Linked DNA regions of Nothobranchius furzeri. The protein of the gene in region 1 purifies or fractionates together with the protein of each later gene. This does not show direct contact. Links are inferred from orthologs where the notes say so. Each region holds a gene or a part of one and is shown on either strand. Other genes may lie near its edges.

Region 1 (2,874 bases):
CAACCAGTAGGCTTTGATCACTGGACCTCAGGGACCTGCTGGGGGTGTAGGGACTAAGAAGATCACCAATGTAAGATGGTGCTTGTCCATGTAAGGCCCTATAGACCAGAACCAGGATCTTGAAATGAACCCTGAAGTTGACTGGCAGCCAGTGAAGCAGGGTGGTGTTGTGATGATGATGAAGCGCTAGTCAGTTGCATCTAGATGGCTTAATAAATTTAATCCCTTTTTAACAGAGTATGTGGCCATCAATCAAATCAGATTACCAATTACAATTAAACATAATCTGAAGTCATTATTTTTTGTTTTCATTGGAGGATTAAAATTCTAATTACAAAAAATATCAAATTAAATAGAATATTACAAATAGCTCGATTTTCATACTGCTGTCATTATCTAGAGATTTAGTTTTCTTGTTTTTCTTTTATCTTTGAAGCACAAAGTTTCTTCAGGTCACTTCAAACTTCCAACAGCTGGTCTTCAAAATAAAACGAACACTAGTAAAGAGACACACATTTAAAAAGGATTTATTTAAAAACAGTCATTAAACAAAAAATAATTATCTGACAGTTTGAAGTTTTATTCTTAATCCAACTAAATATTTTGTATTAATCTCAGAACCCCCCTAGCCAGTGTGAATCCAGGTTCTGCTTAGTTAGTTGATGGTGAGAACGTCACTCTGGATCTCGTGGCTCAGCTGCGTTTGCAGGTCACTCAGCTTCTTCTTGAGGACCGCCAACGCCGACATGACGATGGTCTCTGGTCGAAGAGAACCGCACGACTCCACGTTGAAATAGAACCTGGATGGAGCAAAAATCCCAAGTTTTCCTTTTCAGAACATCTCAGTTTTGTGTTTTTTTTTTAAAGTAAAAACGATTCCTGAGCTGAACCAAGAACACGCAGAACTTCTTAACAGGAAACATCATTAAAATTATCCTATAATAGAAGTTTATTTACCTTTCTGGCTTTCCGTTTGGGTCGTAGGGAGCCTGAACTTCATCCTCCTCGATCTCAGAGTATTCACTCTTTGGCCTGAGATAAAACACACCATTCTGTTGCTGTTCAGCATTATAATTTACAAGATTTATGGTGAAATGAAGACGTACCACTCCTCAGGTCGTGGATAGACCGTGTGTCTCAGTGCGTTGTCCGGGTCGTACTCAAAGGACACCCCCGCGGTTGGGTTCCACTTGGCGTGCTCCTTACCAAAACCTTTCTTTGCGTACGCTCTGAGCCGAAGCTCCTGACCTTTACGAAGCTTTACCAACAAAATGTCTGTCGTGTTGGTAAACGACACAAACAGAAAATGTAGATAAGCAAAGTGTGGAAGAACACAATGAAATTGTTCCACAAGTATTTTAAAGAGAAACTCGCCCTCTCGCTCAACGTAGTCATTTGGATCATTGTCTCGGCTCCTAGAAGTCACCTAGAAACCCACAAGAGAACGTTAAGCTTTGTGTTCTGCTCTGTGATGCAACTCCAGAGACTGCACACTCACCGGGATGACTCTGGGATTGTTGGACAACAGGTCACGCGAGGTGACGTGACGCGTCTGATCTTCCGTGCACCGAACATCCAGGGTCAGCTCCACGGAGCACTCAGGACAGAAATCTTCACAGGTACAGTCCTGCAGGAGGAGCGGACACGTGGGACAATGATGCTGACACCAACAATAACCACTAGGGCTGCAACAAACGATTATATGGATAATCGATTAATCGGATGGGGTCTCGACACGATTAATCGATTAATCGGATTACATGGGGAAATTTTTTAAAACTGCTAGGGAAACGTTATTTCTCTCCTTCCTTCACTTTATTTAACACAACATTATTAGAAAACAACATGCCATCACCTAAATTGTCTTATAAGGTGTATAGACAGAGACCCTAAGCTACATCTATCTGTGACCTAAAATGCTTGGTCCAAGTTAAACAGCTTAAGGGCAATTCTCATCTGTTTTGTTTGATCTCATCTGTTGACATTTATTTTAAATGTAATTAAACATTGGCTGTGAATTAATCAAAATTGATCACTATTTCCAAAAATGACTGAAAAAATACCAAATAAAGCAAAAGTAAATGAATGCCATCCTCCTTGCGATGATGCCCTGGGCAACTGCCATAAAGTCACATCAAGAAATGCTGCTGATCATTCCAATGATCCCAAATAGACTCACATTAGGCCACATGAAAGCAACTGAACCCAAAAATATATTAACCAGTATATAACTGCACTCTCACACAACACGCCTGCAGCAACAGTTAGGACTCCTCCCTCCCTTTTAAAAGCGCTTTTGCTTCTGAGGACATTGTGGTTGTAAAACCACATGCTAGTAGTCTGGCCCCGGTGTGATCAACCAGTTTCTGCGGGAATGTGACGGCGGAACCAGGGCCAGATTAACACTTTGTTGTACCCTGGGCAACAATATTCAAGGGCTCCATCATCACGACCCGAGGATCACCATAATGTGGTCACATACAGAATATTTTACTGTAATATGCAGTAAATATACTCAATACTTGAATGCCTGACAACACGTAACCCGCCCAGAGTAACCTTTGACCCACCTCGTGTGGACTGACCAATGAGGAGAGGGTCTTAACTTGAGGCCCTCTCTTCATTGGTCAGTCTGCATGAGACTGACTCTCAACTGACGTTCAGTCGTAGGCAGCGAAGCGTCTCTGTGCAGCGCAAAAGCCCGGGTGGACAGTTTGTTTAATGTAGGGTGATCATATTTCCATTTCCAAACAAGAGGACAGGGGATCTGTGCCTATGACGTCACACTATGGCAACGCCACACAAACCATGTTGGGACCCATTTTTTGTAAGAACTAAATTAATATCAGATTCTGCCAATTAAAGGGCTCTAAA
Region 2 (4,016 bases), on another chromosome or scaffold:
AAATGTGTGTGGGGTGTACATAATAACGTAAATTCAGCTTTAATAATTTTCATTCTTTACAAAATCTGTTGATTTTAGAAGCATAAACTCATTCGCTGCCAGCTGTTTCCTGATCGCCAACGGCCTTCGCTGCCAGCGTTTCTCACCGTTTTTACAGTTTTTTTAAGAGTCACAGAACGTTGTGCGCTAGGATGATGTCGACGCCAAAACAACCAAAACTAAGAGTAGACTCGCCTCTTACATCAGGAAGAATCCGCGTGTTTTGAGCGTTATCCATTCTTTCATAATCCGTTATCGAATTGTGATCGGCAGACGCTTTTCCGGTTCGCGCCTCACTTTTTTACAGGAACGGCCCAAAACGATCTCCTAATACATGGATGTTCTGCTTCCTGATCACATGACGTGTGACGTATGCAGATGAAGATCGGCGTCAGGGCTGAGATGTTTGTTCTCTCAGCACGGGGGCTCGTTCCGAAGCTCAAACTAAAAAAATGCAAATGACGACTTTAGTCGTCAATGGCAGTGAATGAGTTTATGTCAGTATATCGGTATCGGCAAATATCGGTTGTCGGCTATAACAGTGATCTTAATATCGGTATCGGCCCTAAAATTTCATAGCGGCGCCGGTGCATCACTACTTCTCTTCATCTAGTTTACTGCAACTTGTTTATGACTGTGTTACAGTGAATCTGCAAGAAGAAACTATTTGACTCATTAACTGCCACTGACGACAAAAGTGGTCATTTGCATTTTTTTACTGTGTGGGCGTCGGATCGAGTTCCTGCACCGTGAGAACAAACATCCCAGCTCTAAAGCCGATCTTCATCCATGTACATTATATGTCACGTGATCAGGAAGCAGAAAACCCATGTGATAGGAGATCGTTTTGGGCCGCTGTTGTAAAAAAAAGTGAGCGAACCAGAAAAGTTTTTGCCGATCACAATTCGACAACGGATTATGAAAGAACGGATAACGCTAGAAACACGCGGATTCTTCCTGATGTAAGAGGTGAGTCTACTCTTTCTTCTGGTAGTGTTGGTGTTGACATCATCATAGAGCTCTATGTTCTGTGACTCTTAAAAAATAAACAGTGAAAACGCTGAAAAACGTTGGCAGCGAAGGGCTTTTCTGATCAGAAAATGACTGGCCGTTAAGGAGTTAAAAAGATGAAAGAAAATACATTTATTTGATGTTGATATTGATAGTGTCACTAACTTAAAAGTGACATTTCAAGACTCTTAACTCATCATCATTGCAACCCAGCTCTCACAGCTGATGCACATTCATTCATCCATCCGTTGTCTTCCACGTACCCGGAGACGGGTCGTGGGGGCAGTAACCTAAGCAGAAATGCCCAGAATTCCCTCTCCCCAGCCACTTGGGCCAGCTCTTCCAGGGGAATTCTAGGGCGTTCCCTGGCCAGCCGACAGACAATAGTCCCTCCAACGTGTCCTGGGTCTTCCTTTGAGTCTCTTCCCGGTTGGACGTGGCCAGAAAACCTCACCAGGGAGGCGTCCAGGAGGCATCCTGACCAGATGCCCGAGCCACATCAATTGGTTCCTCTCGATGTGGAGGAGCAGCAGGTCTACTCCAAGCCCCTCCCGGATGACCGAGCTTCTCACCTAGGGAGAGCCCAGCCACTCTGCAGAGAAAACTAAATTTGGCCGCTTGTATCTGCAACTTCACTCTTTCGGTCACTACCAAAAGCTTGTGACCACAAATGAGGATTGGAAAGTAGATCGACCGGTAAATCAAGAGCTTACTCAAAAACAAAACATGGATACTGATACTACTTGTACGTCCTGAATAATATACCGCATGGATGGAGTTATTTTCTATGCTTTCTCTTCCATGTTTGATGTAAACATTGGAAGAATTGAAAAGCATCTGCTTATTAATACGTTTGTTAAAATCTGCTTGAAATATGTGACTCCAGCTCATCCTACAACAGCTTTAACTTCATTCAGGGCTATGATCGGACAAGGATCCTGTTGTTATATCTCACCTTTTTTGAGTTCTCGGTGCCAGACTTTGACGATGAGAGCCGAGTGTTTGCGGTGGTGGATGATCCACAGAGACAGAGTCTGGACGCTCTGCTGAGAGCTGCTCAGCTCCGACAGCTTCTTCTCCAAAGCAGATTCCGAAAAGGACGACATGCCAACTGGTTCTAGAGTGTCTAATTCCACTAAAACTGACCCCCACTGGCTCTAAAGCAACCGAGCTCCGAGCTATTTTGGAGAAACTCGCCCAGTCATCAAAACTCAAGTTGTGTCGCTAAACTCGTAGACTTACAGCATTGGACAGCTTTCTACTGCCGGTTACAGATATATATATCTAACGGTAGGAAAGCACTTAAGGAACTAAAGAGCTAACCAATACTTGCTGAAGATGCTTCAATAGCGTAGCTGCTGAATCTTTGTTGAATGCTGTTTGTTTACAGCGATTGCTAACGTTAGCTAGGCGAGCTAAGCAGCCATCTGCAGAACAGTGCAGCCCTGGAGCTCCTCTTCTCTTAACTACGTAAAACAAACACAAAAATCCACAATATTCCTTTTTGAGGTGTTCCAAGCGATGATGTATAAAAGACAATAGCAAAAAATAATTTAAAAAACAACTCACAAACTAAGTTTCTCGCCCTAAATCATGAAAAAAATGCCTCGAAAAATGGCAGCTTGCACTTTCACCTCGACATGTGCGTCGCAGAGAAATGACGTGACAGAACCCGCGCATTATCGAACTGGCAAAACAAAGGCAAAATACACTGTAAAATACTCTAAACACAAAATTGCAAACTCTTATGAACACACAACTCTTTTTACAGAGTTGAATACGTTTCTAATCATTCTATATTTGTTTGCTCACCCAATTTATTTGGCTTAAAACATAATTAAAATTGTATTCATGTAAAGTGTTTACCAAAATGGCTGTCTGGACTTTTTAATTGACTTTTTATGAAGGAGGAGGGCTGTTAATTTCCCACCAGTGGCGAAAAGCTGGAACTGCACACTGCACAAGTATTCTGTTATCAATTTAGAAAAGGAGATGGGGGATTTGGCGCTTCCTAGTGGCATAATGCTGGTGCTGCACTCTTGTTCTGTTAACTATTGAGAATAATGGGGAGATTGAGATTTGGCGCCCCAAGTGGCAACTAACGTAAACTACACCATTGTTCTGTTAACATTTTAGGTTCATGTGTGATGATGCAGTCATTACAATTGCCACATTAGTAAATTAAAATAAATTTAGTACATTTTAAAAATAAAACTTGACTTGCATTGTCAGAAAAATAATAGTAAAAACACAATTCCTGCAACTCTGTAAGCAAACGATTCCATTAGATTTGGTCTTTTAGTCCACTTTAAATCATTAAATAAAATTAATAATTAGATAATCGCTTGTAGCTTGTGTGTATAATAATTTGTCAGTTGCTCACAATGAAAGAAAATGACTGTAAAACATAAACTACAAATCTAGCATACACTGAACTACATGCATTTATTATAACTTGCCTTGTGAAAGAGACAAATGTAATCCAAGTTTGGATGCTCTTCTTGCAGTTTAAGTACATCTTAATAAATAATTTTCTAAATGGCAGCATCACCTTTTTACAAAGCTGCTGTTTGTCTTACCTCGGCTGCTTTTGGTTTCCCAGCTGAACAAACAGTAACTGTGTGTTTATCTTACCAATCACCAGACATTTGTTCTGACGGAAACCAAAACTCAAATTTTAGCCCAGATCTTTGAGTTAAAACAAACTAATTTTCATGATCATTTGCCTTCTTTTTACTGTGGCTGATAAAATACACACTATTCCATTCAAAACAATGGGTTTGGGATCTGCACACATGGACCTTCAGTCAAATATCAGTGCAAAAGATGTGTATTATCATTTGAGGTTCAAATATCAACCAAAATGCAAACCATGGTGCACCTGTACAGATTTTTTTTCAATAGGCAGCAAACTAGATGGAAAACAAATGTAGTTTTCATCTGGAGTGAGATCTCTGTTATAACCA

Evidence for each region. Proteins that work in one complex are often made in the same cells at the same time.
Region 2: the proteins of polr2c (region 1) and rprd1b purify together in Homo sapiens (affinity purification with mass spectrometry; 3 studies listed by BioGRID and IntAct, counting the BioPlex papers as one, with this or other methods). This does not show direct contact. The link is inferred for Nothobranchius furzeri from reciprocal best matches to the Homo sapiens genes POLR2C and RPRD1B.

What each region holds. Positions count from the first base shown.
Region 1 is NC_091744.1:86,086,323-86,089,196, reverse strand, and holds the end of polr2c (DNA-directed RNA polymerase II subunit RPB3), read right to left. Parts: intron 1,628-2,874; coding exon 1,499-1,627; intron 1,427-1,498; coding exon 1,375-1,426; intron 1,276-1,374; coding exon 1,107-1,275; intron 1,033-1,106; coding exon 958-1,032; intron 801-957; coding exon 656-800; 3' UTR 512-655; downstream 1-511. UniProt on the Homo sapiens protein: Core component of RNA polymerase II (Pol II), a DNA-dependent RNA polymerase which synthesizes mRNA precursors and many functional non-coding RNAs using the four ribonucleoside triphosphates as substrates.
Region 2 is NC_091755.1:32,652,125-32,656,140, reverse strand, and holds the start of rprd1b (regulation of nuclear pre-mRNA domain-containing protein 1B), read right to left. Parts: upstream 2,812-4,016; 5' UTR 2,157-2,811; coding exon 2,006-2,156; intron 1-2,005. UniProt on the Homo sapiens protein: Interacts with phosphorylated C-terminal heptapeptide repeat domain (CTD) of the largest RNA polymerase II subunit POLR2A, and participates in dephosphorylation of the CTD by RPAP2. Transcriptional regulator which enhances expression of CCND1.